3 linked regions of the Canis lupus familiaris genome follow. The protein of the gene in region 2 interacts with the protein of the main gene of each other region in a pairwise test. Links are inferred from orthologs where the notes say so. Each region holds a gene or a part of one and is shown on either strand. Other genes may lie near its edges.

Region 1 (3,585 bases), on a different chromosome or scaffold from region 2:
AATATCGAAACAATTCATGTGACCAACATCCCTTTGTAGTCAGGCCAAGGTAAACCAAAAGCAGCCAAGAAGCTCAGCGTCTTCAAAAGGGTGACCATCCCCAGCAAAGCCTCTCCTGCCAACTCATATTACACAGCAGTTTTTTAAATAAAAACCAAAAGGCAGGTAAAAGAAAAAAAATCACTGTGACAGACAAGATATATATATATTTTCCCTCTTTGTTTAGACTACATGGATCTGGCTATAGTGTGCTCTGGGTCTCAGGTCTCTTGATACATTATTCTTAATATAAGTGAAAGTGTAAGGGGGGAAAGGGAGGTTGAGGCAACCCCCAGGGGCCTGGCAGTGGTGTCTGGGATGAACTGGGATTCTTAATAGAAAGACCAGAGTGAAGACATGCCCTGTGTTACCAAGCTGCTGGGCTGAATGCAGAGCATGGGCACCGTTCCTTCAGGGGCCAGAGTGGGGGAATGTGGGCTCCAGACGAAGCTGGGCCCTCGGAGTCCAGAGTAGAGGATGACATAATGTACCCAGGAGGGCAGCAGGTCAAGGAATCAAGTTTGGTTAGAAGCGGGAAGCTGGGCCTTAAGGTCAAGGTGCACAGATGTAGTTTGATTGTGTTGTGCCTCTTCTCCGTGTCCGCCTTCAGATGGATTAACTACTTGGTTGGCTGAGGAGATCATGTCACACATCTGACAACTCACTGAGCTTCCTTCCAGTGCTCGCTGAAAGGGGGCTGCTCCAGAGAGGTCAGGTCACAAGGGTCTCCCTGGAGAGTCCCAGTGGCTCTCGGATAATGGATGGGTCATATAAGCTCATTTCCCCACCTCATTTGATTCAGGGTGCTTTCTGGGGCTGCAGGGTCCTTGAGGCCACCTAGCAGACAGGTATCCTGTGCCCTCTCTGCTCCTGCTTTGAGCTACCAGGTAGACAGAGGAAGGTATGCTCAGAGCCCGAGGTCCCAGAGGGCACCCCAAAGACCGTACATCCTCTCAGGGTGGGGGCATATTTGGATAGAGGACTGCCTCCCACGATACCCCCAGCCCCCTTCTGAGCTGAGATTTGAGGTGCCCTGAAGCAGGACGCACATCGCTATGGCCCAGGAAGTGAGGCTTTGGGGGTACTTTGGTGGTTCTCAGGTGCCCTTTAGGGGCTGGGCTTGTCTTAGCACTCACCTCATCCCCACTATACTGCTTCAAGCAATGAAGGAGGCGGCAGGTGTTGGATAACCAGAATGAGGTCATCTCAAAGTCCTCATTGTGCTTCTGTGAAAGAAAAGGACAACCCCCATTAGCAGCAGGGCTCCGCTGTCTGGTAAAATGCTCACCTGGGGCTTCTCTTTCCAGGTTTCCAAAGTTACTGAGCATGCTCCCAGCAGACACGACAATGGCCGGTCCCCAAGAGGAGATCCTGGTCAAGGGGTGGCAGTCCCATCCCTTCACTACCAAGCATGGCGCAGAGACCCCTCCCTGGGTCCCCTCGTCACCGGGACGCAGCTGTGCAGCCTGGGCTGTGTGTTGACCACGAGGCCGCTGGCCCTGCTCCGAACTATTCGTGATCCAACCTAAGGGATGGACGGAGCATGCCAGTGAAATATTTATTGAGCGATCAGATACCCAATGGTTTCAACCCTCTGGAAAAGGACTATAAACCATACCTGGATGAAAACCCAAGAGCCAGGATAGTTTCCTATCCTAGGGTCAATGACTGAACCGAGCTCACCTTGTCAGCTAAAACCATCCCTGCCTAATGTCAGAGGTGGGAGCTTTGAGGACAATAAAACAAGGGAGTCGGACAGGAAGCGACTGTTAGGGCTGGGCACAGCTAGCGGAGCCCAGTGGTTAGGAAAGCTTCCCCTGAGGCAATGGCCTGAAGCCAGCCCTCAACTCACTCAGACTGGTACAAGCTCCCGGGCAGAGCCCGTGCTAGGGGTCAAGGCAGGGGACCCAGATCTGAGTGTCGCCAGCATGTTTGTTTAGTGCCAAGTGTGGATAAGATTGCCTCTGTGGTGCAGGGCAAGGCCCAGCCGGGCCAAGCCGAGCCAGAGGTACAGTTACTAACACCAGGCTGGCATGAAGCTCAAAGCTATGAGCTGGAGCTCGCTCACTCCCAGAAGGGAAAGGGGATGCAGGTGACAGAGGCTCAGTGGGTCTCAGCATCTGGACTCCGCACTTTTGAAGATGACATGCATCCCAGAGTGGCAGTGTGTGTGTGAGAACCAGGGCAGGGCTGCCTGGGGCTTGGGCCTGTGGGGAAGGACCATCGCTCTTACTGAGGCCTCACCGCTCAGCATAGCTCCTGCACAGTTGAGCCTCGGCACCCTGACCAGCCTCTTACTGCAGCGGCTGCCACCACCTGGGATCCCTCTGTGCCCTGGAAGCAGCCTTGTCCTGGCCTGGGCCCCCTCACTCTGGAGACTGATAAGCATATGCACCCTTCCTGTGCCACCACCTGCCTGGGGAGCAGGCACCCAATTCCTTGGGAAGGTCTGGGACAAGGCCTGTATTCAGCTTGTGGGGTCAGCCTGCCCCTGAATCAGGCGGACCATCCTCCTCCACCTCTGGTCATGGCTTTTTAAAGTCGCAGGGCCCCTGCAGGCGGTGGGATGGCAATAGTGGATTTGGGGGTCCTTTCTAAGATTGAGCATCCTTTCTCTGGAAACTGCCCACTTCCATCGGCAAGCTGCTTCTGCGTTCCTGTCCGTCACCTTCAGGGCTGAGGGTGGCCTGGGCAGGGCAAGGCTGGGGAAGCTGCAGGCTTCCCTACACCGGCTGCCAAGCACCACCCCCGGGCCTGGGACCCCTACCTTCAGGACTCTCTTAATGCCATTGATGGTGGAGGTCAGCAAGGAGTGCACCTTGAGGTCGTCGTTGATGTAGTCGGCGTGCCGGATGCACATATAGAGGATGTAAGCAGGGAGGCAGGGCACTGAGCCCGTCAGCATCTGCGGCTTCAGGTCTAACAGCAACAAGCAGTGAGAATTAGATGATAGCAGGTGCTTGGGGCTCTGAGGAGACTGAAGTACAGAGATTTTCCATATTTCCCTGAAGCTCACCTAAGAATAACCTCCCATGGGGGCTGGGGGAGGGCTGGGGTGGGAGGAGTCAGGCCCAAGTGGGACACCTTCTGACCCTGTTTCACAAACTAATTAAATACTCCAAACTAACCAAAGCACATTCCTGGCTGCCTGGACTAGAGAAACTTGCTCCTCATGCCTGGTCCTGATGATATGAAGGAAACGAGCCCACAGGTGGCTCACCACTCAGGTCTCCACTCAGGGGACATTGCCCTGGGCGCCGAGAGGCCAGCTCACCCACCAGCCAGAGGGGGCTCCGAGCGGACACCACTTCCTGCCGCAGCCACAAGGGCAGGCCCCTGGAGAGCTTGGCAAACCGCGTACTCCCACACAGACCCCATGTGCCAGGGCCCGGGCAGGGGCCACTTAGCAATCCGCTTGGAGGCTATTTACCTGGCAGCTGCAGCCCAGACATGGTTGGAGCCAGCGGCAAGCCAGGATGGCCGAGGAGTGTCCAGAGCCCCTCTCTGTGGCCTCTAGTGCCAGGGCATGACGCCTGAGCCCCGTCC
Region 2 (4,162 bases):
AGAGAAATATGCACAGATAGCACGGAGACCGCCAACAAGACATACGTGTAAACAGGAGGTCTCAGATGACGGCAGTCTGGGAAACACGGCCCTTGCGGGCTCGACTTTCACTCCTAACCCTGCCTGAGAAGGTCAGCAGGACACCTGCTGACTGAGAAAAGGAGGCTAGTGGGGGAGGGCAGCAGGGCAGGCAGCTCCTAACCCCCCCCCCCCCCCACTGTGCCAGTTGCTGCCACTGAAGCCAGATCTGTGCTTCCAGGAAGTGGACTCTGGAGATGAGTCCCAGGAAGCACACAGCCGCTCCATTGCCCCTGACCCAGTAACTGTACTTCTGGGAACATACTTCAAGGAAATAACACAAAGGGCAAAAAGATGACTAGTGTTGGGTTATTTATAACAGGAGGCGGCTGAAAATAACAAGGGGGAAATGGCCATAGAAAGCTGGAGGTGACTACTGGGGGAAATGCCTCTGGCCCTGGCAGTCCACATTCAGGGGGGTACCCAACCGGGACCTGGGGAACGGCCGCCTCTGGCCCCAGCTGCAGCAAGATGGAGTCCTGGCCACTTGTGGCCAGTCCCCAAAGCCCGGGCAGAGCTTCCCCTGGCTCTCATGTGATACCCCAGAGTGCTGTGGGCATCGGGGCCCTGGCCTGATACCTGCTGACCACACAGCTTCACCTGCCAGTGACATATGAGCCTGCATGCAGCTCCCCAGGCCCATGATGCTGCGTGACAACTCTGGGCCTCTGCGTAGACACTCCGCCAGCCCAGAAGCCTTTCACCACATGGACATCCCAGGTAGGGAGCGCGCCACCCCACTCTCCACATCCCCAAGGCCCCCAGGCTTCCAGCCCCAGCATGCGGGAGGACACTACAGACACGATGGTCACTGATGGACATGGACTGCGCTCCCAGGGACAGTCAGGTTTCCCCAGTGAAGGGACGGTGCCAACAGCTGGTGTGAGAGCAGACCCTCACACTGCAGGCAGCAGGGCAAAGGTGCCTCAAGCGGGCCTAGGGTTAGCTCTCATGGGCAACCACTGTCAGTCAGGGAGCCCAGAACAGACCGCCCGGGACCTGGCCAAAGCCCAGGTTGGCACAGGAGGCACTGTGAGGTCAGTGACTTTTTTTTTCTTTTTTCTTTTTTTTAGATTTTATTTTGAAGTAATCTCTACACGCAAACTGGGGCTTGAACTTGCAACCCAGAGATCAAGAATTGCATGCTCTGCAGACTGAACCGGCCGGGCGCCCCCAAAGCCTGTGACTCAAGTCAGGCCACAACCCCAGCGATGGGAGGAGTCTCCCCAGCTCCAGCCGCAGGGTGAGGGAGCTGGGCCAGCAGCAGTTGCCTGACCTGCCACAGCCGCACTGGAGGTTCCTAGAGCCCTCTGTCCCTTGGGCAGGGACTATCCTGCAGCAGGTTGGCCGAAGCCCGGCCCATGGGGACGCAGGTGCGGGGGGAGGTGGTCTGCCAGGCTAAAGCCCACAGCTGACCTGGGTTCAAATCCTGCTCCAACATTTTTCAAATGTGCCCTGTCTCTCTGGGTCTCAGTTTCCGGATCCACAGAGAAAAGAAGGTGGCTATTATCTCCTGAGCCCAGCACACACACTCCTCCCCCCACGCCAGGCGCCCCTCCGCACAGTTCTGGGTCAGCCCCCAATCCAGGGTCCCCCCCATCACACATCTCAGCCCCTCGCGTCCTCTCGCTCTCCGGGCCCCGCCCCCAGGCGAGCTGCCACCAATCAGGACAGGCTCCTCCCACTCTGCGAGAGCCCCACCCCCGCGCGCCCAGTCCCAGCCCACTTCTTGGACACGCCCTCCGCCCCTTAGCCACGCCTCCTGAGGCCCCGCCCCCAGCACGGAGGCCGCTTGTTACCCAGCCCGGCCCGCCAAATGCTGGGGAGGCCCCGCCCCCCAGAGGCTCCGCCCCTAACGGCCTCTCCCACCGCTTGGGGCCCCACCCCCTCCGGGCCCCGGCCCCGCCTCGGCGCATCCAGGGCCCCCAGGCCTCCCTAGGCCGCCCGCTCCGCACGGCCGCGCACTCCAGCCCAAAGCTGGCCGAGCCCAAACTGCCCCGGCCTTCCCGGCTGCCTAACCGCCGGGCCCCAAGACTCGGGCTCCGGCCTGGGCCCAGCGGCCTGGAGCGCAGCCTCAGCCCGCCCGCCCGCTGCCTCGCCGCCATCCCCTCGCCCGTCTGTGTCCCACCGACCGCACCTTTGAATAGGTAGTCGTACTCGTCGTCCCGGGTCCCCATTGTCCTGGCGCTTCCGGCGGGATCGGCGACTCCGCAGCCCCACCACAAACACCCGACGGGGGCGGAGCCGGCGCCGCACAGAGCGGCGGCTGAATCACCAATCAGAGGCGGGTGGCGTAGCGACGGGCACCCAGGGCAGCCAATCACAGGCGGAAGCAGAGCCTCAGGGGTGGGCGCCGCCTGGGACCCACCCTCCTCGCCTTCGGTCTCCTGGAGAAAGGCGGAAGGAATGCGGACCTTTCTGAAGTGACGGCCGCGTCAGCCTATCAGAGGTGGACTCTAGAAGGCGGGGCGGAAGACTGCAAGAATGAAACAGATTGATGGCACGGGGAACCAATGAGAGGCTTGATTCAGGCGGTCCGGGAGTACCAGAGGACCTGTCCGGGAAGGGAAATGGGGCTACGTCCAGGTGATGTTACGCTATTTAACGTCCCGATGACGTCATAGGTTAATGGGCGCTGCTCTGCTTTCCCCCTTCGCCGCCTCCTCCCCTCACCCACATTAAAAGACCGTTTACAGGCCTTTGGGGGGGTTGGGTTTTCATCACTATATTTGAGTCATTAAGATACCCCTCTACCTCAATTTCCCCCGCTGCAGGATAGGAGAAACTAAACTTGATGAAATTTTTGGAGGCAAACTGGATTATCTCCCTAAAGACAAACCAAATCAACTTTCTGCTCTCTGTCATTAAGTCTTTTTTTTTTTTTTTTTTTTTTAAGATTTTATTTATTCACGAGAGACACAGAGAGAGAGGCAGAGACACAGGGAGACGGAGAAGCAGGCTCCATGCAGGGAGCCCGACGCGGGACTCGATTCCGGGACTCCAGGATCACACCCTGGGCTGAAGGCAGGCACCAAACCACTGAGCCACCCAGGGATTCCCTGTCATTAAGTATTTAACAAATATTTATAAAGCCCTTTCTGCACGTTAGGCCTCTGCAGCACGATGCCCCCCTTCTCTATCCCCTTGCCCTGTTTTATCCCATCTCCCGCCCCGGAGGATTTATCACTACCTGACCGACTGTATGTTTGTGGGGGCACCTGCCTGGCTCACTTGGTGGAGCAAGCGACCCTTGACCTCCGGGCCATGAGTTCTGGCCCCACTTGGGCCCAGAGCGTATTTAAAAAAAAAAAAAAAAATGTGCTTCTTTCTTGACCCATTCATGTCTTTAGTGCCCTGCCAACAGAACACGAGACCCATGAAGGCAAGAAGGACACTGTCTGTCACTGCTGGTGCTGTGACCCCAGCGCTCAGCAACTATTTGATGGGTGATGAATAATGTAATCACTTTAACTATAATTGTAATTATTATAATTGCCTCGTGGACCTCACCCCTGTGTTTTCCAACAGGCATCCCAGACACTAATTTGGCCTCTTTTCCAGCATCCACTCCTCCTCCTGTGACTCCATGTCCCCCACACTACCCTCCACCTCTGTTCCCCCCACTGACCATCTCAGGGCCAGAGGTCATGGACTCCTCTCTCTTCAGCTTTTAGCCTCCTGCTTTTCCTGCCCTTCTTTCCTTCAGTTGTCTTGCTGTGTTCCTCCTCCATCCTACATTTCTGATCACTACTCACCCCCCATCCCCACCACCTCAGTCCTGGCCCCATCATCACTCCCTGGACCTGAGCTGTTGTCTATCCCCAGATCTCCCTGCCCTGCCCTCACCCCACACAGTATGCTCTTTCCATTGCGGTCAGTCTTTTTTTTTTTTTAATAAAGTAAGCTCTATGCCCAACGGGGACTCAAACTCACCACCCCAAGATCCAGAGTCACGCACTCTACAAACTGAGAGGGTCAAGGGCCTCAATCAGAGGAGTCTTTTGTTTATTTATTTATTTATTTAAAAGATTTTATTTTATTTTATTCATGAGAGACACAGAGAGAGGCAGAGACACAGGCAGAG
Region 3 (4,198 bases), on a different chromosome or scaffold from region 2:
AAAAGAAGAATGGCATTTAATTTTAAATTATAAAAATAAGTAAAATAATAGTTTTAGCCATCACACTTCTTTGCCTATCATGACACAATTGGAAGACAAGCTGTAAATACTTGTCTTCAGTGTCAAGAGTATAAAATGTCACACCCAGCAGTTTCATGGGACTTCTAAATCAGCTGGTAGCCTTCATCACTCATACTGGTTTTCTAAAAAGCACTTGGGGATATGCCGACAAGGCTCAGCACTGTGCAGAATATTAAATATCTTTCTTGCAATACACCGGTGGCCCAAGTTCATCTTGTACTGTACCACATGCACAGCTGTGCTGGAAAAGGAAGCTATTAAATATATTAAAAAACTAGAAATATTACCAATAAAGATATCTCATCAAATATGTGGTCCTCATTTATCCACAAAGAAAATGGGATTTAATAACATCTGAAAATCACTCTGCATGCAATAACATCACAAGCCCTGTTGAGAACATTTAAAAGCATTTTCCTCCTGAAAGTTCTAATCAATTTTATTTAGTAGCCAATAGAGAATTTCTGTAGGGAGACCAGGATAGGAGAGTTACTTATGGCCAAATTTATTGTAATTCGGATGTTGCCAAAGATAAGGAGTAAAGCAAGGAGGAATTTTAAAAGCTCACTTCATCCTCTGAATCTCTGGATTCACAGTTGGGCCTACTTTCGCTCGGAAAATTTAGATTTCATAGGAGGCCTGTAATAGGTCACTCATTAACATAAAAAGTACCAAAAAAGGCAGCATAACATTTGCAGTTACAATATACTAGAAAGTCTACTTTCAAAACACTTTAAATATCATAGGGTAAGTTTCATCCAAAATTGGTGATTTGAACAAACTGCTTGGTGATCATCTATCTTTCAGCTAATGAAAAACTAATGAAAAACTCCTCAGAGGAAATTTTGTAGGTAACAAATACCATTTTGTAGGTAGCAAACACTTATCAAAAATCATCAATATACATTCAATTTTACATTTTTTTAAAACTTTTCTCTCCTTTTTCTTAAAATACTGTTATCTCCTGAGTAAATATTTACCATTTTTCCTCTTGCATTCCTAGTACTTATCTGTCTATCCCTTTACCTTTCACGTACTAAATCTTACATAAAGTCCTGATTTAAAAAAAAAAAAAAGGTAATAAAAATAAAAACTCCAATCAAGAGAAGCTTGCAGGAAGATGTACAGAGAATATAGTAAGGCACACTTGTTGTAAAAATGTAATATGAAATGGACATGAACTTCAAGAAAGTTACCATTATCAAAAGTTTTCAAAAGGGCAAATAAATTTCGGTCACGTGGGAAACACCAAAGCTGCTTTGGACACTTGAAGTCCTCTTACAAACTCAACCTATATTTTTCTCTCATTAATTCCGTTAATTTCAAGGTTCTCTCAGATCAGGTTTAAGGAAGGGTGAGTATATCTGTATCTCCGAAAACATGTAATTTTCCGACTTAAGACATAACATCCAAGTGTTAATTTATATCATCCTTTTTTAAATGACAACGTATCTCTCCTGAGCTTGAAAGTCAGAGGTAAAAGGACGTGTTTGCAGTGAAGACGCCCCTGAATCACTTCATCACAAGAACTCCATCACTACCTGCAACACGCGGGCTTTACAGAACTATTTCCGAAGTAATACACGAACTCCAATAGGTTGTGAATTCACAGAAAAATGTCAGCGTGCATTCAAGGTTGCGAATGTTTGTACACACTTAAAATTTTTTTCTTTCAACAGCTCTAGACTCCATCGAGATGTACTGACCCTGAAAGATGGCTGAGCTAAAACACCGGCCAGCTTGTGTTTCTAAAGCTGAAACGAAATCCTGACCTCTAAATTTGGTAATAGACCTTTAGACAACTTCAAAATTCAACATGAGACCTTATATTGACAGATTTAATTCTCCATTTCCTGGCAAACTGTAGTGTTTAACGATCACAGCAACTCACACAAGTTTTAGGTGGTCAGCACTGTGATCAAGTCCTCTTACAAGCGGTGAAAACCATGTCAGTTTGCTTAAAATCCGGTGCAAAATACTCAATTATTTAACATGTTTACCTTAACCAGAAATGCGAGAGTAATGGATCATTACTGCCTCCATTTAAAAATATATATATATTTCTTCACAAGGGCTATGTTTTACTCCAGATTCGTGCAACCATGGTGCTTACAACTAGGTCATATTTCACTCCAAAAAAAAAAAAAAAGAGAGAGAGAGAGAGAGAGAGAGAGAATGCCCCAAATAATTTCCAAGAACAGAAAATCCGTAAATAAGATAATCTCCCCCAAATTCAAAATAAATTACATAACTTACTCTGTTTTCCTTCTTTGTTTGTCCTCAAAGATGTCATTGAGGTTGATTGCCACCTGCCCTAAAAACTTATCCAGACCCACCAGGGACCTGTGCATAACTATGAGGAAAAGGATGTATTTCTCGGGATTCCCCTGCATTAGCAATCCAGGGAGCTCAAAGGAGGCCTCCTCCTTCCAGACAGGCTCAAGGGTTTTCTCAGCTACAGAGGTGGAGTACTTTTCCTTGCCCAGCTGAATTATGGTGTATGTGTCATTGGTGCCACTTTTGCCTTTTGGCTTAAGATCTTTGGCTTGGAGCACTGTGACCTGCACGTGGGTAGGAAACCACTTTTGGGCTTGCTCGGACAGCATCATTCTGGGTCTTTGGGGGGGTTGTGGTGGTGGTGGTTTCCCTCGGCGCCCCGAGCCCCTCCCGCGGGGAGAGCCTAATTCCTGAATCACTGCATCCTCCGGGCACCCGGCGGCGGCAGGCGAGCTCACGGCTGCCCGCCGGGCCCGGGGCTCGCGGCGCGGCGCCTCGCTGGGGCGGCCCGGGGGCGCGGCTGCGCTGGGGGGGCCCTCTCCGCGGCAGGGGCCCGGGGGCCCAGCATCCCCGCCGCCCCCGGCCGAGCCGCCCGCGCCTCCGCGCCGCCCGCTGCGGGGACCGGCCCCGGGCTGCGGCGGCGGCGGCGGCGGCGGCGGCGGCGGCGGCGGGCGGCTCCCGGGCCTGCGGGCGGCTGAGGCCTGGCCGCCGGGGCCCGCGCGGAGCCGCCCCCGCCCCCGGCCCCGGCCCGCACCCCCGCCGCCTCCGCGCCTCCCGCCCGCCCGCGCTGCTCGGCGGGCCCGGCCCGGCTCCTCCTTCCGACCCCGGTAATACGAACCGCCGGCGGCTCGCGCGGCCTGGCTCCCTCTAGCAAACCTCGCCCTCCTCCTCCGCCTCCTCCGCCTCCTCCCCCTCGCCTCGGCTCCTCCTCTCGGGCGGGGGCGGGGCGGGTCGCCTGGCCGCGGAGCTGGACCGGGAGGGCAGGGACGCGGCGCCCCAGCGGCTGTCAGGGCGGCGGACGCCGGGCTCAGCCTCGCGGGGCCCGCGGCTCCCAACCCCCGGCGGGCGGCGGCGGCGGCGGCGGCGGCGGCGGCACTTCCGGGTTGGCCGCCTCCATGTTGAACTCGGGAACGCGAGGGGCGGGGCCGGCGGGGTCAGGGGTCAGCGCCTCCCTGGTTGCCGTGGCGACCGGCGGCGCGCGGCGCGAGCTCCGGGGCCCGGGGCTGGGTGCGCCTCCTCGGCGTCGCGCCCGGCGCGGGGGCCTGCAGGGGCGCTGGGCTCCCAGGACCGGGCGGGGCGGCCTGCCGCGGGGGGCGCGGGGGGAGCGCTCCTGAGGGGTGACAGCCGCAACCCGGGCCCGCCCGATCTGGGGAGGGATACCCGGGTTCGGTCTTTGGAAAGCGTGTTGGCTGCCTGCGCCCTGATGGATGCCTGGCGCCTGGCACAGAGCGGGTGGGTGTCAGATAGATGGTGGCTGGCGCGGCGCATCGGCCCTCTTCATTGACCGAAAGCACCCTTTTCCCCAACCCCTTACCCACTCTTCTCTAATTCACTGGGAAGACGTCCTCCACCTCCAATGGAAGAAGAGGGGGAAAGCAGATGGAAGGTTCCAGAACCACACAGGAATCAATAAAGATCGGGAGAGACACTGGGGCTAGAGTCAGAAGAGCTGATCCCCGCCCGCCCCCCCCCCCCCCATGTCTGCCATCATCAGCCTGTGTGACCTTGGACAAGTCTTCGCCCCTCCCCGAGCCTCAGCTTCCTCGGGGGCTAGGACACCCCCTGGGCGCTCACTGTGTAGACTATCCACCTTTTGAAGCCGAACCCAGAGAGGACTCTC

The links.
Region 1: the proteins of RAB11B (region 2) and MYO5B interact in binary tests that used the Homo sapiens proteins (3 or more experiments, as listed by UniProt). The link is inferred for Canis lupus familiaris from reciprocal best matches to the Homo sapiens genes RAB11B and MYO5B.
Region 3: the proteins of RAB11B (region 2) and RAB11FIP2 interact in binary tests that used the Homo sapiens proteins (3 or more experiments, as listed by UniProt). The link is inferred for Canis lupus familiaris from reciprocal best matches to the Homo sapiens genes RAB11B and RAB11FIP2.

The regions. Positions count from the first base shown.
Region 1 is NC_049228.1:79,081,764-79,085,348, reverse strand, and holds part of MYO5B (unconventional myosin-Vb), read right to left. Parts: intron 2,959-3,585; coding exon 2,807-2,958; intron 1,266-2,806; coding exon 1,176-1,265; intron 1-1,175. UniProt on the Homo sapiens protein: May be involved in vesicular trafficking via its association with the CART complex. The CART complex is necessary for efficient transferrin receptor recycling but not for EGFR degradation.
Region 2 is NC_049241.1:53,362,303-53,366,464, reverse strand, and holds the start of RAB11B (ras-related protein Rab-11B), read right to left. Parts: upstream 2,875-4,162; 5' UTR 2,256-2,874; coding exon 2,216-2,255; intron 1,532-2,215; exon of another isoform or gene 1,152-1,531; intron 799-1,151; exon of another isoform or gene 325-798; intron 1-324. UniProt on the Homo sapiens protein: The small GTPases Rab are key regulators of intracellular membrane trafficking, from the formation of transport vesicles to their fusion with membranes.
Region 3 is NC_049249.1:28,754,921-28,759,118, forward strand, and holds the start of RAB11FIP2 (rab11 family-interacting protein 2), read right to left. Parts: upstream 2,843-4,198; 5' UTR 2,691-2,842; coding exon 2,338-2,690; intron 1-2,337. UniProt on the Homo sapiens protein: A Rab11 effector binding preferentially phosphatidylinositol 3,4,5-trisphosphate (PtdInsP3) and phosphatidic acid (PA) and acting in the regulation of the transport of vesicles from the endosomal recycling compartment (ERC) to the plasma membrane.